Elephas maximus indicus: one gene and its partners. The protein of the gene in region 1 interacts with the protein of each later gene in a pairwise test. Links are inferred from orthologs where the notes say so. Each region holds a gene or a part of one and is shown on either strand. Other genes may lie near its edges.

What was found. The genes of interacting proteins can lie anywhere in the genome.
Region 2: the proteins of MAGED1 (region 1) and TTC23 interact in binary tests that used the Homo sapiens proteins (3 or more experiments, as listed by UniProt). The two-hybrid records come from large-scale screens. The link is inferred for Elephas maximus indicus from reciprocal best matches to the Homo sapiens genes MAGED1 and TTC23.
Region 3: the proteins of MAGED1 (region 1) and CA8 interact in binary tests that used the Homo sapiens proteins (3 or more experiments, as listed by UniProt). The two-hybrid records come from large-scale screens. The link is inferred for Elephas maximus indicus from reciprocal best matches to the Homo sapiens genes MAGED1 and CA8.

The regions. Positions count from the first base shown.
Region 1 is NC_064846.1:116,594,294-116,601,174, forward strand, and holds the start of MAGED1 (melanoma-associated antigen D1), read right to left. Parts: upstream 3,008-6,881; 5' UTR 2,858-3,007; intron 2,356-2,857; 5' UTR 2,327-2,355; coding exon 2,282-2,326; intron 1,667-2,281; coding exon 959-1,666; intron 349-958; coding exon 1-348. UniProt on the Homo sapiens protein: Involved in the apoptotic response after nerve growth factor (NGF) binding in neuronal cells. Inhibits cell cycle progression, and facilitates NGFR-mediated apoptosis. May act as a regulator of the function of DLX family members.
Region 2 is NC_064831.1:90,663,402-90,671,279, reverse strand, and holds the start of TTC23 (tetratricopeptide repeat protein 23), read left to right. Parts: upstream 1-4,868; 5' UTR 4,869-5,066; exon of another isoform or gene 5,067-5,101; coding exon of another isoform or gene 5,102-5,105; exon of another isoform or gene 5,106-5,297; intron 5,298-7,878. UniProt on the Homo sapiens protein: Participates positively in the ciliary Hedgehog (Hh) signaling.
Region 3 is NC_064833.1:83,388,267-83,396,163, reverse strand, and holds the start of CA8 (carbonic anhydrase-related protein), read right to left. Parts: upstream 3,011-7,897; 5' UTR 2,809-3,010; coding exon 2,709-2,808; intron 1,326-2,708; coding exon 1,134-1,325; intron 1-1,133. UniProt on the Homo sapiens protein: Does not have a carbonic anhydrase catalytic activity.

The DNA.
Region 1 (6,881 bases):
GACAACTGGGCCAGGCCAAACAATGGGATTAGGCCAGATCACTGGGTTCTGCCAGATCACTGGGTTCTGCCAGATCACTGGGTTCTGCCAAGCAACTGGGTTCTGCCAGGTTGGTAGGGTCTGCCTAGCTGGGGGGCTCTGATGTGCCAATGGGGTCTGCCTGGCTGTCTGGTTCTGCCAGCCTGATGGGTTCTGCCAAGCCAATGGCGTCTGCCAGAGCACGTTGGGTGGTGCGCCAGGTGGGTTCTGAGTGGTCACTGGAACTGGTGCAGACCTCCAAGTACCTGAAGTCAGTGGGACCCACCTCTGATCCCCACTGCTGTTTTCTTCCACATTCAAGTTATTAATCTGCATCATCAGAGAGAAAAAAGGTCAGGGGTCACCAGATGGTTCTATGTCCTCACCCTAACACTTCTGGGAAAGCCTCCTAAACCCTCACCTGTAGTGACAGCCTGACCCACTAGCCCCAGGCTTGTCTTTCACTATCTTCCAGGCAGGAGTTTCATCTCCGAATCAGGCCAGGAACAACCCAAGGGTGGGGCCTGAGGCTTCTCCTCTTCCTGTGTCCACCACTGGCACTGCTTGTACCACCCTGGACAAGTCATATCACCTTTCTGGGACTCATCTTCCTTCTCTGTAAAACTGGGACTATAATCCCTAGCTGATAAAGAGTTACCTTCAAGATTTAATTGAGATAATTTGTATAAATGTGGCTAGTTCTAGGCCTAACACATGGTAGCTACTATCAAAACACAAATAAAATTATATCCATGTTGTAAGCATTGTCTTATCTCATCAGTCTGTGGACACTCTGAGGAAAGAAACTATCACATTTACCTCAATATCCTCTACAATCTAACAGAATACAGGCAATTACATTTTTTGTTTATAACAAATGAACAATCACAAAGAAGAAAGGAGAGAGTCCAAACCAAAGTGGACCTAGCAGGGATCTCACCTTACGGGTCCTCTTGCCCCGAATTATAGTCCGGGACTCCAGATTCTGAGCCTGGGAACCATCTGCTGATGCCTGTGCAGCTGCACCCTCAGGTTCAGAGATACCTGGGTTGGTCTCTATGTCAGCTTGGGAAGTAGCCATCTTGGCCTGGTTAACATTCTGGGTCTGGGTATCAGCTGTTGAGGCCTTGGTGGTATCATTCCAATCCTTGAAGGCTGTCCTAGTTTGGGAGTTGGTCATCTCACTGGCATTGGGAGACTGAGAGAAATTGTAGGTGGCATTTGGACCCACCGTGGTAGTGGCATTCTGGGCTTTAAAACCCATCTCGGATTTGTTGGTGGTTGCTGCCTGGGAAAAATCATAGGCAACATTTGGGCCCTTTGTGGTGGCATTCTGGGGCTTAAAGCTTGCCTTAGGTTGGGTGTTGGGCATTTCCTTGGCATTAACAGCCTGAGAGAAATCATAGGCACCATTTGGGCCTTTTGTGGTGGCATTCTGGGCCTTAAGGGCTGTTTTAGGCCTAGTGGCAGCTGCTACAACATGAATGTCAGTCATCTCCTTGGCAGACGGAGGTTGTGAACTCGAGGGGCTTGCATTCAGCCTGCTGACAGCTGCTGTGGCCTGGTTGGTAGGTGGAGCCTCCGAAATCTGGATCGCCTCCATAAGGGTCTGCATAAGCAAGGCACTGTCTTCCATAGAGGCTTCAGTCTGTAAATACGGGGTGGGGGGAGGGGATTAAATCTCTGGGCCTCTGAAGGAGGAGTGGGAGGGTGGGAGGAGCAGACAGGGGAGGTGCAGGTGGCCAGCTGGTGCAAAAGGAGGAGGGCTGAGGTGGAGACCTAGGGGGCCTGACAGGAGCAGAACCACAACAAAAGTGGTGGTGGTAGGGGCGGAGTGAGAATGAGGGTGAAGCCTACAGTAGGACTTCAGGGTCGGAGGTAGAGTGAGTTGAGGAGAATAAGGAAGGGTCGCAGGGAGTGGGGAATGCAGGAGACAGGGGTGGTGGAGGTGGAGGACGGTCTTGGGGGAGGCGGAGGCAGACTGCTCTACAAGCATCAGGACTCCAGAAAAAAATGGTTCCTCATCCAACCTGCAGTCTCTGGGCAGACTGCCCTGACTATTAACAGGGTCTCCCCTTTCTCTGAGCAGGGACTGATGGCTGAAAAGGAACGCCCCCCCCCCCCAATAACCGATAAGAATTTGAAAGTCAACAGAGTCTAGGCACAAAGAGGGCAAAATCAGATTCAGGCATTTGGGTGGCCAAAGGGGCCCAGGGAGAACTGGCGGCTGGGGAAATGGTGGGTTAGGGAGCTGAAATCTCACCTGGAAGCCGAGGAGGCCTGCACCACAGTCCATTTTCTGAGCCATGGCTCCAGTCCCTCTGGCAAGAGTGGAGCCTGGGGGGGGGTTGTGGGGGAGGAGCTGGGGGTTAAACTGGAGACGGCAAATAGGAAGGTCCGAATTGAGGGAAAGGGTCTGTGGTTTGATTACGGGGGCGGATGAAGTGCCGAATATGAGGGGAACCGGCCAGATCCGGGCGGGAAAAGTGAACTGAGTGTCCAGATGGAAATCCCGAGAAACTACTGAAGGGATTCCGGTTGCAGATGAGCGTTTTGAATTCGGGATCACATCGGGATTTGGGAAGTTGAATGGAGGTTTCGAATTAGAGGGAATCGTGTTACAGTAGAGATCGAGGTCGAGAAATCTGTGGAGATTTCGAGCGATGGGAGGGACTGGACAGGGGTTCAGATAGCGAACAGGGCTTCTGAGTCAGGGAGGATGGGGTGGGGAATGTGAATCGAGGTTTGAGGAAGGGGTTCAGAATCCGGGATAAGATGATAAAAAAAAATGGGGGCCCGCACCAGGGGGCAGATGCCCTGTCTGGGGGCTAATTCTCACCTTGCCTCAGGCCCCAACCCCAACCCCCTCGTTGTCTCCCTTCTTCAAGACTCAGAGGATCTGGATTGCAGTGCTCGGCTCTCAGCAGCCGCACCCTCTCCCTGTCCAGGAGAAAATGCCAGCGCGGCAGCTTGGGCGACCCCGCCTCTTGGCCTAATATACCACCCACCGCCTCAGGTCGTTGTGCGCATGCGCAAACGCTGAACAACCAACTAGAGTCCCGCCCGCTTTTCCAACAAAAGCTTCATCCTGAAAATCAAGATGCGCATGTGCACTGGAAGGCAGTCCCGCCCCTTTGCCAACACACCACTCCACCACCAACCAGATCGACAGTATACAACGATCCCTCCCTTTACGCTACATCCCATCCCTCAGCAGATGCGCAGTGCCTCTTGGCCCCACCCCTTGCCCCACACACCAACCCCCTACCTTTTCCGCAATGCGTCTGTGTTCTATCCCACCCCTCTCAAGGCTCCTCCTCTCAGGTCCGCGTGAATCTCCACCCCCTTGCCCGGCGCTCCTTAGGTTACTATTGATGAGGTCTCTTCTATGTGAGGTCTCTAATTGCGACAAGTGCTAGACCCAGAAAAAGGAATGGCCAGAAAGGATACACTACTGGGGGAAGCAGTTATCTGTGCCTGCCACGTGACTCTACATGGCTTCCTTACTAGCTCCCAGACTAATGTAGAACATTAGTTTCTTCCCTGCCATTTTGCGCAGCCCCAGCTGGATTGTGTGTGTGTGTGTGCGCGCGCGCGCGCGCGTGTGTGTGTGTGTGTGTGTGTGTGTGTGTAGGGGCGAGGGAGGGGCAAGCTTGTACAACACAGCAGGATCTGTCCGGGGGCTTGTTTTCCTCTCGCAGCTGCCCTAGGTGGTGGATGTCAGCATCCCAATTTTACAGATAAGGAAGTTGAGCTACAGACAAGGTGAATGAACTACACAAGGCCACAGTAAACACAAAATTTGTGCCTGGGTCTTTCAGACTCCAACGCCATGTGCCGCTGGTTGGGGGTGACAGCCCCCAATATCTGTCCCAAAAAGCCAAGCTTTGTGTTCCTGGTGGTCCAAGCTCATGCTCTGCCTTCAGGAAAATTCAGGTAGAGAACCCAGCCCCGCCCCCTGACTGCTCTATGTGGGTCCATTCAGATGTGGGAATTGCTCCAAGGGAATAGCTCCACTGTCAGGTCTCTTAGTTGTGAGTGGCATGAACACATTGTCCCAGAGGCCTCCCTGGTGCTCACTGGAGCAGCCAGGACAATCAGGCCCTTGTGCGTCTGAGCCATGGGAAACCCTAACCTAGTGTAAACCCTGGTTCAGAGTAAATGTTTGTTCTGGTTCCTTCCAGGGCTGGGGCCTGGGGCAGCTCTGGTCTCATGGAATGAAGCTGGGCTGGGCTTCAAAATTCCTGGGATGAAGTGCTGTGCCTGTCTGTCACTGGCTGTGTGAGGCCGCTCAGGTCACTCAACCTCTCTGAACCCCAGTTTCTAAATATGTAGAAATGGGAGACACAAGAACACACATGCCGCTGTGCTTCCTGGATGACAGAGAAACTCAAAAAGGCAGAAATAATAGACAGATGTGATGTAACTCAAATTAAACACCTTCCCAAAATCCAAGCCAGATCTTTGTTTTTCACATTTGTTCTGGCATGAATTCCTGCCAGATGCCTGCATATGAAAGGAAACTAATGCTCGGAAGGACAGCAACATTTGATCCCCAAGGGCCAATATCAATTCTGCCTGGTTGGATGACTTTCCTCATCTGTTGCATAGCAACCTCCTCTGTCAGCTGCCTGTTTTTCTTCAGCACTTCCTCTGTAAAGTGTCTGCAGTGGGACGTGATCAGACTCAGAAAAAGGGGTTTGAAACACCATTTTATATGTTTTCTGCCTCCAAATCTGTATCCACTCCTGACTTGGCCTATGAATTCTACATTCGTAATTCAACTGCCTACCTTACTCCTTCTATTGGATATTTCTTGGTATCCTCAAAATTGGCATGTCCCAAACTGATTCCTTTGTATATAGCCCCCTCCCCACCAACACTGTGTGCTTCTCTTCTGTTCATCTCTTTCTCTCCCCATCAGAATGTAAGCCCTTTAGGGAGATGGATTTTTGTTTGTTTCATTCATTGTTGCATCCCCAGCTCCTAGAAGGATACCTGGCATATTTACATGCTCAGTCAGTGAATCCCACCATCCAACTTGTTCAAGCAAGAAATCTGAGAGACATTCTTTTTTCTTTTCTGTATAAATTCACTTATTCTTTCCTCATTATATAAATAATGGGTGGTCATCATTAAAAATTTGAACATTACCTAAATATCTTAGAAATTGAGTAAACATCACTCCAAATTTCACCACCTTGAGATAACTGCTATTAAGATTTTTATGCAACCCTTTCATACGTCACTATATGTATACATATCTATACATGCATGTCTATATATTCTTACATAAATGGCATTATACAGGCTATGAATATTTTAAATTGCCTTCTTTTGTTTATTGCCTCCTACACTTGTCTTTCATCTCTACCATTACCTGCCAGTCATGCATTTCTTAAAATTTATTTTGTTGTTCTGTTGAGAGTATGTACAGCAAAACATACATCAATTCAACATTTTCTACATGTGCAATTCAGTGACTCTGATACATTCTTTGAGTTGTGCAATCATTCTCATCCTCCTTTTCAAACATGCATTTTAACAAGCAATTTTATATCCATTCATGCTCAAAAGTAATTTTTTTGTTTTACAAATATTAAGATCATATTATATACACTTTATGCATCTGATTTATCTTACTAATCCCCAGTCTACTTTTGATCCATTAAATTGATGCATAATATTCCATGATGTGGATGTACCACAAAGTATTAAACTGTTCAGTGCTTGGTATTGTGAGAATTTGCCAATTTTTTGCCAATTTGATGTGTATGTATTGGTATCTCCTTGTGTTTTAATTACATTTCTGATAAGTAATGTGTTGAAACACATTTCCATATATTAATGAACCTACCGTATTTCTTTTGTAAAGTGCCTGTGCAAATCTTTTGACCATTTTTCTTTTGGGTTGCCTGTCTTTATCTTATTGATTTGTAGGAGGTCTTTATACAGACCTACAGGTACTTATCGAAAACCCCTGGGGTCATCTCTATTACAAAGTTTTTTTTTTCACATTTTAGTAAGGTAATACAGCATGTACTCTATACTACACAATAGCTCCAACTGCAAAACCCAGATAGTCGTTTCTTCATATTCCCTTGGCAACTAAGAAAATGTGATCTAGGATTTACCAGTACATCAGGGGCCCCCAGGACCACGCTTATGTTCAATGATTCAATAGAAGGACTCAAGGAACTAAAAAATCTGTTAAACTCATGGTTATGGTTTATTACAGTGAAAGGATACAGATTAAAATCAGCAAAGGTAAAAGGCCCATAGGGGAGAGTCCAGAGACAAGGCATAAGCTTCCAGTTGTCCTTTCCCAGTGGAGTTGTATGGATAGCACTTAATTTTCCCAGCAATGATGTGTGACAATACTTAATGGAGTTTCGTCAACTACTAAAGCTCATCTGATCCTTGGTCTCCAGGGTTTCTACTGGGGATCGGTCATATAGGCATGGGGTGCCCATGTGGCTGACCTTAATTACTCAGTCTCCAGCCCCTCCAGAGGTCAAACTGATATTGCCTGGCTGAAAGTCCCCTCCATAAATTACATTGCTGGAATAAACTATCTGCCATGGCCCAAGACCCCAGGTGAACAAAGACACTCATCAGGCAGGCTATTTCAAGGGTTTAGACATTGCCTCCCAGAAGCTGGTCAAAGGCCAGACCTTTCTTCAGAATGCATGGGATTTGAACACCCTGGATCTGATATGTCAAAACTTTACTGCATAACTCCAGCTAACACTTTATCTGGAAGGAATGATTCAAAGATGCAAAGACAGGTAATTTATTGTCATAGTTGTGTGGTAGTAGAAGCAGCCACAAGCAAATCCAGGTTTTAGGGGCAGCATTAATAG
Region 2 (7,878 bases), on another chromosome or scaffold:
CTAAAGAAATGCTCAAGCAACCACAATGAAACTGAGCTTTGTTCAAAAATCCACTCTCTGCTTTCCTGGGCACTCTTTCCCAAACTCTTTAATGAAAGCACCTTTTAAAGAATTTTTTTCCTTAAGAAAAATTACTTTCACCAAATTATATACTACAAAATGTCATAACAATAGCTTTCAAAAAGCAGAGTTTTGTAACTTTTTGTTTTCTATTATTTCCAAACTCTAATTTCTAGCTAATAAGAAAGCACCTGTATTTTATTTAAAAGGACAGAGAACATGGCATATTCAGTAATACCCCCAATGCAACATAAGAATACAGTACTTTCCCATAAGTTCTGCTACCTACTCGTTCACTGGTTTTTTTAGGAGACATGTGACTCTGAGCAAGACACTCAGTCTCTCTACGCCTTAACTCTTGTACCTGTAACACTAGAGACATTATCAATGACTGTGGGAAAAGGGAAGCGTCCAAGGTAATTACTCACTTAAGTCCTAAACTGGAAACAGCTTAGGCGGCTCACAAACATCTCAAAATTAACACATTCAAAAGGTAGGTTTTGATTTTCATCACCCATCTGAATCCTCCCCCTGCCCCATCCCCTATTTTTCCCATCTCAGTAAATGGCACACACCTCCATCCACCCAACTGCTCAATCCCGGAACCTGGAAGTCATGCCACGTCTTGCCACTTCCAATCCATCACAGGGCCCGTGGTTTGGAACTTCAAAGTACATGTCAAATCCACCCACATCTTTCCATCTAGCAAAACCCCAAACCAATGTCCTCTTTTGCCTGGCCAACTGTATTACTGATCTCCCTGCTTCTACTATGAGGTCCCTGGGTGGTGAAAACTGCGCTTGATTTGCCCTCGAATACTAACCAAAAGGTTGGCAGTCCAAACCCACCCAGCGGCTCTGTAAAGATTAAGGCGAAGAAAACCGTATGGAGCTCATTTCTACTATGTAGCACATGGGGTCACCGTGAGTCAGAACTGACTAATGGCAACTGGTTTGGTTTTCTGTTTTCACCCTAGCCACTTTCCAACAGTGAATTGTCTCTCGCGCTCTCTCTCTCTCAGGCATACTCACCTATACGCTCCAAAACCAAAACCAAACCCACTGCCACAGAGTTGATTCTGACTCACACATTCTACTAAATAAACTCTTTAAAAACTTCTCAACTAGAAAATCAAACTATTAGAAAAACCCTGAGGGCTCTTCACAATAAGCCTCACCCACTTCTCCAGCCTTATCCAGAAGCTCTCTCCCAGTCTTATCTCTCTCCAAGCTCCTGGGATTCCCTAGTCCTTGAAATGCCAAACCTTCCACAGCACTTGCTGTTCTCTTAACCTGGAAAGCACTATTCTGTACTTTGGGTTTCAGCAACACTTAGCTTCCACCTAAACTATGGAGTCCCCGGGTGGCAAACAGTTAACATGCTCAGCCGGCATACAAAAGGTTGGAAGTACAAGTCCACCAGAGGTGCCTGGGAAGAAAGGCCTGGCAATCTACTTCTGAAAAATCAGCCACTGAGAACCCAATGGAGCACAATTCTACTCTGACAGCACACAGGGGTCACCATGGGTTAGGGTCAACTGGATAGCAACTGGCCACCTTGTGTTTGGACTGAAGTGTTCCTCTATTATTCTTTCAGGGCAACCTGTTCTGTTTTGCTTTGGATCTTTTTGGTAGGACTCCTCACCACTCATAATATGCATTTATTGGTGTATCTGTTTATTGCTTACTGCAAGCTTGCGACATGCCATAAGCACGTCTAATAGCCACCGCGTTACACACAGCATTGCAATACACATTACTTAACCCACTTCATAGGTGAAGGCACTGAGATTCTCACAGGATGAGTAACTTGCCAGTTCAAACTTAAAGAAGCTGACTCCAAGGCCTGTGTCCTACCCTCCCTTGCAGCCTTTCATGCACTTTATTGCTGCAAAATGCAACCACAGAGCTTGTTCCTATAATCATTTATGTGGTGGGCAAAGCTTACACAAATGTAAAGCTAGAAAGCAAAAACAACATCCACAGTTACTGACGGAAGATTCAATAAGATATTTCACTGTATGGCACTAGTTTTTTAGTTTTTTTTTGACCCTTTTCCTTTTGAATCCTCTGAACTGAACTGGTTATCTCAGAAACATCACACCCTGTTAATACGTATCTTGCTACAAAGGCAGTTTGGGAGATAAAACCCATACAAATGAAATCTGAAAGCTGCTAACAATAAACAAGGCTAACGATTTTCCAATATGCATTCACTGGCAATATACAGCCTTTAAGAGGATAATTTTCGTACACAATGGACTTCACCGCCTCCTACCTACAGCTAAGGTAAATGGTACATTTCATATCAACTGTACACAAGCGCACCTCCACACGAGATTACCCCGGCAAACACCACCTTGTTATTCGAAAAGCAAAGCTCTTCATCTCAAAAAAAAGTCTACACAATTTTAAGCAGCAATGTTCTAAAGGGAAGGAGTTTCTAAGACTGACTTCCCCGTGCTTAATGCAGTGGCTACCCAGTACAATGTTCTAATATCGGAGATGAGAGAATTATAAACCGTATATGAAAAGCCTTTTTCAAAGGCTGTTTTCGCAGTACTGGCAACGGCTAGCAGAAGTCTTAGGCGAAACAAATGCCGTTCAGCCCGAGTGAGCCCAGCACGGACGCCGTTTGGAAAGCAAACGACAGTTTGGAAGCAGCGCGCCCACTGGCAGGGATCTCAGACCCCGGTGTCGGGCTCCTCGGGTCCGAGGGGGCGGCGGGGCGCGGCGGGACGGGAGGCCTGAGCGATCGCAGCGACCCGAGGCCCGGACCGGCCCGTTTGGGCCGGGGTCCCACTCCTCGCGGCCCACTCGGCTTCCCCAACGTGGCCCGGGGCAGCCCCGCCGGGAGTCGGGCCGGAGGGCCCCGCCACGTGAGCCACCCGACACGGCAGGTAGCCACACTCACCTGGGCGCCGGCGGAGCCAGCGCTCCCGAGCGCAGGAGACACTGGACGGCAAGCCGAGGGCCCGCGGGAGAGGGGCGGGGCCTCGGGGGCGGGGCCCCGGGCGCCGGGAGGGGCGGGGCGAGGGTGGGGCGGGGCGCCGGGCAGCACAGGGCGGAACCCGCACCTCAGGGAGTGAGGGAAGTGGGAGCCGTGGAGAGGAGAGCGGAACCTCGCGATAACTTGCCCCCGTTCGTGCGGATTCGCGATAGGTGGGACGAGAAGCACGTTTTCCACGAGATGTGTCTATTGGCCGAGAGCGCGGCTTCCTCCACACTGGTCCCGCCCCCTGCCGGCGCTTCCGGCTCCGGCCTGGCGGCTTCTTGGGGTAGCGGGTTTTTGTTTTTCTGAAGTTGTAATTTAACCTTTTCCAGCCCCAAGATCCGGCAATAGTTAACTTTTTCTTTCATTCATGCGTTCATTCAGGCACTCGTGCTCTCGCCCAGTGCATACGTTAAGGAATTGCAACAATAATAACACCGGATGTTGAGCTGTGCGTGGGCTATCTTTTACCCCTCACAACAGCCCCTTCCCACGGGTGCTATTATCCCCTTTCGACTGGTGAAAACCTGAGGCCCGGTGGGTTTCTGTAACGTGGCCTAGGGCAGCACCGGATTTAAAGACTCGGTGGCAACGGGTTTGGTTTTGGTTTTTTTGGTGAGTACCAGGTTCCAAAGATGAAATAACCCAGTCACTGCCCTTGAAACACCGAAGATGTGTAGTGAGTTACGTATTATGGAAGTCCCTAGCATGACTGGGTAGTCCGTCAATAAATATCACTTCAAGAATCAATTTTCCTGTGTCAGTGGAAAGAGACATCAAAGGAAGACGGCTTCAAACTGCTTTGAAAACAACAACCAAGCATTGTTCTGGAATATTAAAACACATACACACATTTTTAAAATACCACGCTTGTTAATGTAACAATTTTATGATGAAGTGAAAATTGTTTTAAAAAGTGTCCTCCCTTAAAACTGCAGTTGTTTATTGGTCTTTGAAAAGCTTGATTTTGGTAATTTTCTAGAGCCTCATTGTAAAGCAACTTTATAATTAACTATTTTCAGTTTGGCTTAATTACTCTTAGATATGAATTACCTAGAAAGGAGAATTATATTTTTTAAAAACTTCCAAAACACGTTGTTAGTTATAAATTACCAATTAAATCTGGTCTTAAGTATACAGGATAGTAAATGTCATATAGTTCTAAGTGTTTTTTTTTTTTTTGGTTGGGGTAGACATTTTTTGCTAGGATTAAAATGAAGAAACCTAAAGCGTGTGTAAAAACAAATTCTTAGGATATTAATGATCAGCCAAAATAATAAAACCTGCTCCTAATACAGAAGTCACAAAAAAGGATTAACAATAGAACAACAATTTTTTTTTTTTTAAACGTGCTGATCAATGTCTGCCTCTTTGGTTTTCATTTCTTCAAAAAATTTTTTTCAGTGGAGCAATTTAGTATATGATACTTGGTCTTGAAAAATGTACCATCTTAAAAATTTTTTTTAAATAACTTTTAACACCCCCCCTCAATTGACACAAAAGTAACCAAGTGATAATTGATAATATAGTATTCTATGACCATTAATGAAAGTCTTCTCATTATATAAAGAATCAGTTTTCACATTTTGCCTTACTTAAAACAAGGGAGGAAGACCCCTCTAACTTAAGTTAGCGATTTTGCAAACTTTCACATCAGCAGGCAGCGATACCACTTTAAGAAAATTCCAAGGAAAAGACAACCCCTTTAAAATTCCCACCTCTGGCTCCCAAGGATTGGATTGCAAACTCCAACAAAATACTCTTCTCCACTTCCTATTGGTGCCTGCTCTATCACTCATTCTTCTGCCTTAAATTTTGTGAAGCACCAGGTTGCTTTACGGGAAAAGGCTCCTCTGATTTAGTCTGAAAGTGCCTACTTTAGGCTTTTTCATGGTTATTAATCTGTACAAAGAATCACAAAACTGATAAAGCGGGAACGAAACTGGTAAATCAGGCTACAAGACAACTGTGAAATTCGCTGGAAAAAGAAACGGAGAACCACTCAAGAACACAGGGTAAACTGACAAAGGATTTTACGACAAAGTTAGAGATGTGTGAGTTAAGAACCTTTTCCCGTTTTTTGCTGGTTTTAAAGGAGCAAGTGTCAAAGGAAAGCCAGAGAAGATGTAGGCATGATCTAAGGGTGACAGGAGGGGGAATTTTCAGAAGATATTTTCCTCATTAGGGAGCAGTTGAAAGAGCATCCTCAGATGATCGGTGGATTTCTGAAAGGTCAAGGGAACAAGGTGATAAGACTAATCATAAATTGTTTTCTACTCTAAGAAGCTGTGATTTGTTATTGTTTTGCTTTAACGTGGACTTATTAAAGCAAATTTAATAATACTGTAATTTATAAATGAATTGGATATTTTTGTACATTACCATACCTAGCATAAGAGACGATCCATCTATTAAAGATGTAAGAGAAAATTAGAATCATCTTTGTACCTAAATTTTGTATATATTTGTGGATTAGGAAATCCAGACCCGCTAATGACCAAACAAAACACCATATTGGCATATAAAGCAGAATCACTAAGTAGGTAATGTTAAGAATAAATTCTCAAAAAAAAATCTAGCATTAATATTTTCAAAAATGATATTTTCATTAAAACTACAATATAAAAGTATAGGAGGATATTGATAAATATGAATACATTAATTATATTAAAACTTGGATTTAGAATGGCAATAGGCAGTGATACCACTTTAGTATCTAGCCCAACATATAGTCCTAAAATAAAAAAATATAGCACCTTAAAATTCTTCAAACATTAATTCAGCTAGTACTTATAATACCTAGTGGCACGTCTACAAAGCCTAAACGCACAGTAGGCATGCACTAAATATTTCTTGAGTGCCTTCTATTAATCCATTTTGAGAAATATAATAAAATAGAGCCCCTTGAAGAAGCTCAGACTGACCCAACCCAGTGCCGTCAAGTCAGTTCCAACTCATAGCGACCCTACTGGCTGGGAGAAAAATCAGTCTCAAAACATTTAAGTTAAAACTATGAGCTCTTCTTGATGCCCAGATAACTGTTACAGACCATAGATGCTTCAAGATCTCAGGTCTGAGTAGAAATATTCAGGAAGGCCTTCAAGTAGGTGAGGCCCAATTCGGGCCTGAGCAATGGGCAAAATTTCAGTAGATATGAAAGAAGGGATGTGACCTTCCAGGTAGTAGGTGAGTTGTTAGCAAATACGTGCAGCCTTGACTTCAGCAGAAGGCTCATTTGGGAATCTTGATTTAAAAGAAAACTTACATGACCGTAGAGCCAAAAGTACCAGAATTGAGGAGTTTAGTCCTGAGTTTTGAACAGGAGAGAGACTTTATGAAAGTAATATACAAAGAAGATAAAACTGACAGTGCCATTTAAGATGGCCCCAAGGGTAGAGAACAGAAGCAAAGAAGCAAAACATTGTAAATACTAGAGTACAGATTATAACTGAGCCTCTTAAAGCATTTTGTCAAATCCCTTTACTGTTGTTGAATAACATAAATCTTCATGCATTTCTTCATACTCTTCGAAAGCTTTGAGTTTATTTCTTGTTTGGCAGTACAGATAACGATTTGGTTAGGTGTGGGACTGGTTGTGGTACAGTTAAAACAGCAAAGGTGATTATATTGTACATTGAAGTGGTTCTTTCTCTTTTGTCTCAGAATTTACGTGTGTTTTCTTGATTTTATTAAACTGAATTGAAGGAGTTACAAAAACAAAACAACAACCAAAAAAACTCCTTATGACAGAAGAATGCCATGGAAGTCTATAAACTTTTCACCTGAAATGCTCCAACGTGAAATTCCACACAAACTCAGTGAGCTGTTACAATGTGCCAGGCGCTATGTTCAATGTTAGGAAAGCAAAGGGGAGTGAAGTACCATCTCCCAAAAAAAGGGCGAAGTGCTTCAGGGACACCAAGGGAGGTGGTTGTCTCCTCCTTGTCTTCATCTCTGCAACAAAACTTGCTTCTAAAGAATTGAAGCTCATCTATCCTAAGTAATTGATGAATGGTTCTTAATTAAGTGGAAGGAGAAGGAGGAATCTTACCTGTGGAAAAGAACTGTGAGACCAGCACTCATAATGTAGATAACTCAAGTGCCACACAATAATGCTTACCCAATATTCCATTTTTTCCCCTAAATATCCGAGCCCTTTTGGCTGGGAGCAAATGAAATGTTAGCAGAAGTGATAAGTGTGACTTCTGGGCAATGGTGCTCATTTTTCCAATCTTTCTTATCTTCTGCTATGACTCCTGTTGATGTATGTTGTTGCTAGGTGCCATCAAGTTGGTTCTGACTCATAGAGACCCCCTGTACAACAGAACGAAACACTGCCCCATCCTGCATCATCCTCACCGTTATTGCTATGTTTGAGTCCACGGTTGCAGCCACTGTGTCAATCCATCTCAATAAGGGTTGTCTTAGTTATCTAGTGCTGCTACAACAGAAATACCATAAATTGTTGGCTTTAACAAATAGAAATTTATTTTCTCACAACTTAGGAGTCTAGAAGTCTGAATTCAGGGTGCTGTTTTTAGGGAAGTCTTCCTCTCTCTGTCAGCTCTGGAGGAAGTTCCTTGTCTCTTTGAGCTTCTGCTCCTGAGCCATCTTCTGTGGCTTAGCATCTCTCTTCCCCCATCTCTGTTTCTTAGTTTGCTTGTTTAATCTCTTTTATATCCCAAAAGAGATTGGCCCAAAATACACCCTCCACTAATCCTGCCTCATTAACGTAACAAAGACAACCCATTCCCAAATGGGATAGTAATCACAGCCATAGAGGTTAAGAATTACAACACATTTTTTCTTTTTGGTAGGGGGAGGTGG
Region 3 (7,897 bases), on another chromosome or scaffold:
GCAACTATCCCACGGATTCTAAATTAAGGCTCAGAAACATTCATGATGAAGAAAATAGCCATAGCTGGAAATCAATACCTGCACTAATAATAAACCTAAAGATTTTATGATTTGAAAAATCGACTTTATCGATTCAAAATTAATTTGAGTACATTCAGTTTCTGTTTACCAAGCGCTTCCTAATATTTCAACATGCTCTAATTCTATATTTTTTTCCAAGAGGGAGTTATTATTCATTATGAAAAGCATGACATTAATGCTAATTTAAAAATTTTGCTTTTCTCTCCCCTACATTTAAAACAACAACCTATTTCCATAGTCATTACCCAGCACCTTTTCCTTAAAATATTCTAGATCCATCTCAAATAGATTAAGAAAGGCTTTTTTGTTGTTGTTGTTGTTGTTGTTTGCTTTTTAGTAATAAAAGCAAGGGCTCTTCCACTTAAATCTTTTGCTGAGATGCCAGGTGTTCTTGATTGCTGCTTGCTAAAATCCTCCTCATTAATACAGCAGAAAAAAATAATTCGAAGGGTTTAACTTGGATGCCAGGTTATGTCGATAAATCCTAAAATTTAGTTTTACAAATTAAGTAGTAAATCAGAGAATTGTAATTACTTAAATAACTTAAGCTAGCAAAAACTTTAGGACAAAATGCAGTTAGGTACTCCTGGATATACCTTCCTCAGATTTCATAAAGTGTAAATTAACCAAACTAAGGTTGTTCCAGTAATGTCATACAAGAACCAAGCTGACATCTTCACAATTTCATCCTTTTACCCTTTTAAAAATATTTCTGAAAATAATTTAAAAAATGCATTTTATAATACATACAAACCAAAAGCCCTCTGCCATCCAGTCAATTTCGATTCATAACAACCCTATAGGAAAGAGCAGAACTGCCCCATAGGGCTTCCAAGGAGCGGCTGGTGGGTTCAAACTGTCCATCTTTTGGTTAGCAGTTGAGTTCTTAACCTCTGCACCACCAGGGGTCCTTGTAATATATAAACGTATTGATATAAAACAGAGCTATGTTACTTTGACCTTTTAGATCATACAGGCTAAACAATGAGAGTTCAATAGCTCCACCATGACTTCTAGTTTAGAAGAGCATGCAAGAGCATCTTTTCAAATACCTGATTTTGATTTCAGGATCACTTGAATGGTATGTCCATCATTGGTGACTTCACAGTCTCGGCAAACCACGTAATTTGGAGAGAGGCGGACATCGAGCAGTGAGGGGTCGTATCTGGCTTCTCTTGAGTTCAGGTTAATAGGAGACTGATATTCACCATTAGCATCGGGAAACACCAAGCCCCACTCAACACCTATGGGCAAAATTAAGAACAGACTAAAGTAAAATAAGTTACAGCAAAACTTACCATAAAAACCAGGACACTGCCAAATAAAATCTGCCTGCCTACGTAGAAGGTCTATGATCCAGTCAGTGTCCCTTGGCTTTAAGAGGGTCATGACTACCAGCTCTATGAAGATGACATATGCAAGGTGTACGTGTATTTTTGCATTCATATTTCAAATGCAATAATATTATGAAACATCGCATACGAAACCCTGGATGAACAAAATAGCATATTTTTTACTTGCCCACACAGATGTAATAACTTATGACTCAACGAAATATGTCATTTTTAAATGATTAAAACCAAAAACCAAGCCAAACCCATTGTTGTTGAGCTGATTCCGATTCATAGCCACCCTACAGCACAGAGTTGAACTGCCCAACAAGGTTTCCACGGAGCTGCTGATGGATTCGAACTGCCGACCTTTACTGGTCAGCAGCCAAGCTCTTAACCACTGCTCCACCAGGGCTCCTTTCAATGATGAGAAACAAGTAACACCATAAAAGTTTCCTCTGCTCATTAGTTTAACTGTGTTCAGTACTTGGGAAATACTTTAAACACTCTGGGTGAGAGCCAAAAACTACATTTCATGTCAGTGAATAAACTCTACTTTTCATAAATGCAAATAAGAATATTTTGAAGTGTCCATATTAAAATATATACATAAACTCCATACTTTTTATAATTAAAATTCTAAGTTCTATATTTGTTTCAATGATGTAGTTTTTTTATGTAGTTAACATCAGCCCTAATGGTCGGGACACTAAATTTTTTTAAAAGTCAACCTCTTTGCCAAGCCCACTGGTTCAGTCTGAAATCTACGGCATGTTTTAGAAAGAGCTGAGCGTTACTACTGTCCTTCAGGACAAGAGCAGAGTCAGAAATACTGTGTCCTCAGAGTCCTCACGGCAAGCAGAAACGAAGAGTTTCACTCCACCACCCACTGCTAGCACTGTACTATCAAGATGTTGAGTAAAATGTAAGTAAAATGCTTTCCCCGGCTACTCAGAGGACAGAGCTCGGGGTCGTCGTGCATCTGAAACGGCAGAGCCCCTGCATTAAGGCTCGCCCTCCGGAAGGCGGCAGGTGCGACCCGCTGCCCCGAGGGAAGCCAGCCCCGCACCGGAGTCGCGGCGGCGGCGGCGGCGGGATGCCCGCCCTCCCCGGAAAGCCTTCCGCGCCAGAACGGACCGGGAGAGTCGGAAAGCTGTGGAGAAACACGTGGAAAAGAAGGGACCCGGGGGTGCTCCGAGCGCGCCACGCGGGCAGAGCGCAGAGCCCACGTTCGCGGGGAGACCCACGCGGCGCACAGCCTCTGGGGCCCCGGACAGCCGACCCACGGCCGGTTACCTTCCTCGTAGCCCCACTCCACACCCTCCTCCTCTTCCTCCTCATCCTCTTCCTTCTCGGGGAAGGCGACGGAATCTTCGATGAAGCTCAGGTCAGCCATGGGAAGCTCGGCGGGTCCCCTCGGCGTCCTCGCCGGCGCCGTCTCCGCCTCCGCAGGGCGAGCGAGGGAGCCTGCAGGCGAGCTGCGGAGGGAGCGTGAGCGCACGTGAGGGAGTGAGAGCGCGAGGGCGAGCGGGCAGGTCCGGCCGCAGTGCCGTGCGTCCTGGCGCGGAGGGCGCACCCCGACTCTCCACCGGGCGAGGGAGCGGCCGCAGCTCTGGCAGCGCGCGCCGGGCCAATTATAAACCCGGCTGGGGCGTGTCTGGCACGCGAGGACCCGCCCCCTCCGCTCGGTGGCGGGGGACCCACCACGGGTGGACAGCAGGAATCGGCGCTTGGGGCGATGGGGCCGAGGCGAGAGAAAGAGCACGACCCCACTGCTTCCTCCGCCCATCCTGCTGTCCCACAGGGGCTCCTAACCTGTCTTCCGCGCGAACTTCCAGAACCCCCCACCCCAGTACCCCGAGGTCAGCCCTCACGCCCCCCGGTGGGGGAGCAGGGAAGGAGCATTTATTGAGCACCTGCTATGTGCAGGGACTAGACCAAGGGCTTTTGCCCATATTATTGTTCATTCCTAAACCAGGAATCATCAAAAAGAAAGAAAAAGCAGGAGATGGGGGAGGAGGGAGATAGGTGGCCACAGGTAGGAGAAAACGGGGTGGGGGGTAGGAGAAAACAGGGCTAGGATACACTCCCCCCCCCCCCAAATAAAAGAGTGTTTCCGGCTCGGAAACTTTATTACAGAGTACTCGACGGCAATGGGTGGTTTCGGTTATCATTTATATTTTAACACTTACTTAGAGCACAGTGTAAACTTGAGTAAGGAGAATTTTCCAAGAAACTTGTAGTCCCTAAAAAGTAAACTTCTTAAATAAGAAAAAGTGTTTTAACTAGAGAAGCGGATATAATTTAGGGAGCTTTCTCTATGGAAAAATATTATTTCAAAGGCATGGGCGGTAAAAGGGAATAAAGAAAGGGTGTATGGTTGTAGTTTCAGAGTCTGGGGTGCTGTTACAGGCAAGCTTGCTGTGTACACAACTCCCAAGGGCCCGGTGAAATCGTGTCAACAATGAAACGCACACATTGCATAACAAACAGGAACGTTCTGGATCCGGAGATCGTACTGTAAAAATACCTCCAATGCGGTGTCAGTGGCGTCTGTCCCCTGTTCCAACGCCTTTTAAAAGTCCTAGCCAATAACCCCGAACCAGGTGATCTTATATTTTTAGGAGGTATATGTGCATAATGGAAACCCTGGTGGTATAGTGGTTAAGAGCTCGGCTGCCAGGCGCTCCGTGGAAACTCTATGGGATAGTTGTGCTGTGTTCTTTGGGGTCACTATGAGTCGGACCGGTCAGAAACGAGTTTGGGATTTTTTGTTGTTTGTTTTCGATTCGTATGTGCATAATATGCACAGATTTGGGCCTTAAGGACAGTGTGTGTTTTATTTGCTCTGCTCATGCACCTGGTGTCTGTTAGCAGTTTCAGCAGCCCATCCCTAAATCATATGGTCCTTCTGCAGGCCAAGTTCCTCAGGCAAGGACACAGCTTATCTGCGTGGGGATTTCCAGGTTCTGTGCTGCTGTCCTTCACTGCCTGCTCAAGTCTCTCCACTTTTTTTAAAAGCCGCTTCACAAGTTCTCTGGAAAGTGGGTAAAAGGAGGGAAAAAAAAAAGCTCAAGTCAATTAATTCTGCCATTTTCTAGAAGGTTCAGCAAAATAGGTGAAAACTATTGCCCAGTTTTAGCTTTGAGGATTATCTGTGGTTTTCAAGCAGTCCTGTCATTCCTCTTTCCCCAAAAGGGAAAGCTGGCCACTGCACTGAGGAGGGACCCAGTCTGAGAGGGAGGCTGAATTCACCCCTCACTCACTGCCTTCTGGGTGTTCTTTAGTGGACGTCCTTTCTCCTCTGCGCCTTAGTTAGCCTGAGATTGGCAGAAGCAGAAGTCTACCCTAAAGGTATCAGCAAACGAAAAACAAATCAACCCTTTGCAGTGTAGCCAATACCGACTCATGGTGACTGCGTGCGTTACAGAGTAAAACTCCTCCTTGGGGCTTTCTTGGCTATAATTTTTATGGAAGCAGATCTCCAGGCCTTTCTTCCATGACACCACTGGGTGGGTTTGAACTGACAACCTTTAGGTTAGTAGTCCAGTGCAAACCATTTGCACTACCCAGGAACTTGCGCTAAAGCTGTAGCTATTTAAAAAGAAAAAAAAGCACTACCCAAAACATTAATCACTTCCCACAAAGGTTCTTCTAACATTTCATTTCTCTTTCATTTGCTGCAAACTTGCTTACAATCTTGAAAAGTTTATTACAGTTTCTTCTTAGAAATCTATTCATGCATTAATCAGATGCTACAGCTAATGTACCCCATGAAAGGCAGTGGAGGACCTCAATAATAAAATCACTTTGCCACTCTGAGCTCATTGCTGTGCCCTCAGATGTGCACAGATGCTACGCTGTAGCCATGGTGTGACCAGCATTGTATTTATAATATCACAGGAGTGATAGAGACAACAAAATCACCATGGCAATAAACCTTCTTGTACACTTTTCTTTAAGTGTGCCATATTGACAGCAAGAAAGGATCAAAGATTGAATTTTGCAGTTAATAGACGATGTTGCATATATCCAACACTCTACCGCCATTCATAAATGCAATTAACTACCAGACAAACATATTTGGACGCATATTTGTTCTTTCTGAATTTTTTCGACATCATTTGTAGAGTGTCACTTCTCTATATAAACCCAGGGTAACCTGTCCAGCAACATAGAAGCCCTCCCACTGTGCATCCACATATTCAATTAACAGCCTTAATTGCTTTGAGACTATGTGCTTTGAATTTCTGCTCATTAACAACACCTTAAGACCTTCTCTTCTCACATTCCTCTATTATATTATCCTAAAGATGGAATTTCTATTTCTAGTCATTATAAGGTTTCTGTCACTATAAAACCTAAACACTCAGATAAAAGATTTAGGCCAATCCTTTGACTTACAAAATAGAAAAAGCACATTTAAATCCAATATCAGAGAATCTAAAAATAAGTATGCTCTACATTGTAAACATAGCTACTCTGCATATTCCTCTATGTAAAATTTTTAATCCATTTCAACCTAATGTCATATTAAATTCTTTAACTTCATGTCGCTCATTTACAGTGTCCGTGTAACTAACAGAGGTCAAACCACATCGGTAGAACAGCCTGTTAATACCGAACGAAATCAAACCCATTGCCATCAAGTTGATTCAGACTCACAGCTACCTACAGGACAGACCCTACAGGACTACCCCGTAGGGCTTCCACGGAGCAGCTGGTGGATTTGAACTGCCAAACTTTTGGTAAACAGCTGCCCTCTTAACCACCAAGCCACCAAGGCTCCTTGTTAAAACTAAGACCTATATAAAAAACCATACAAGCCGCTGTCGAGTCTATTCCGGCGCGTAGCAACCACATAGGACAGTAGAAGTGCCCCATAGGATTCCCAAGGCCGTAAATCTTCCTGGAAGCAGACTGTCACGTCTTTCTCCCACTGAGTGACTGGTGGGTTCTAACCGCTGACCTTTCAGTAGCATCCAAATGCTTAACCACTGAGCCACCAGGACTCCTAAGGCCCATATAACTAATTACTATTTAACACTACATTTTTTTTTTTTTTTAACCTTCCTACCTCAAAGGCAGTGGGTTTGGTTTGGTTTTGGGTACCTTCCTACCACTTGCAATCGAGTTGATTCCTACTCATAGCCACCCCATGTGTGTCAAAGTAGAACTGGGCTCCATAGGATTTACAATGGCTGATTTTTCAGAAGTAGATTGCCAGTCCTTTCTTCTGAGGTGCCTCTGGGTGGACTTGAACTTCCAATCTTTCAATTAGCAGCTGAACACATTAACCATTTGCACCACCCAGGGATTCCATTTAATACTAAGAGAATATAAATAAAAAAAATGCCTAAAAGGGACAAACTAATCCAAGTGTCCGAGGAACAAAGAGGTACTAAGATCGCTTGGCAGCACCCCATACCTACACGACTCTCTTCCGCCATCCTTCCTCACTCTTTAACATACCCTACCAAGACTTTCTTAAGGTATTGGTGAGTTTGGGCCCTAGATTAGTCATAAACAATTATCACTTTCTTCTCCTTCTGTGTACCATATGACTGGGGACAACTCAGGGGTAGAACTAAGACGCAGATCAAATGGTTTCTGTCCAGATCTTTAAGTCATGAATTTCAACAACAATCAATTGTTGTTTTCCTTACTGTGCACTGCCCTGCACTAGGCTTTCTGGGGGACCCCAGAATGGATAAAACACTGTTTGTGCCCTCAGGGAACGTACAGTCATCCTCAGGAGAAAGGTAAAGCATTAACTACAGTACAACACAAAATGAAACACAAATAGAGGTGCAAGTACCATTCCATCTAAGAAAGATGCAATTCATTCTGATGGGAATGATCATAGAAGTTTTCTTGGAAAAGATGGTATTCAAGGCAAACCAGATGTTCCGTGGCGGACTGCTTCCGTAAAGATTCCAAACCAAAAAAACCAAACCCACTGCCATCAAGTCGATTCCGACTCATAGCGACCCTACGAGACAGAGTAGAACTGCCCCAGGAGGGTTTCCAAGGCTGTAAATCTTTAGAGAAGCAGATTGCCACATCTTCTGAGGAACAGCTACTGTGTTCAAACGGCAGACCTTTCAGTTAGCAGCCGAGCGCTTTAACCACTGCGTCACCAGGGCTCCTCCTACAGGGTCGCTTTGAGTCAGAACCGAGTCGACAGCAATGGGTTTGGTTTAGATTTTTATGGATTGAATTGTGTCCCCCCAAAATATGTGTTGCAAATCCTAACCCCTATACCTGTGGCTACAATCCCAGTTGGGAATAGAGTGTTCTTTGTTGTGTTAATGAGGCCGTATCAATGTAGGGCGTGTCTTAAGCCAACCACTTTTGAGATATGAAAGAACAGATTAAGCACAGAAGCAAGCAAGCACAGAGGGGCAAAGATATATGTCATACCACATCAAAATCCCCAAGGAACAGAGGAACAGAAACTGAAAAGAGACAAAGATCTTCCTCCA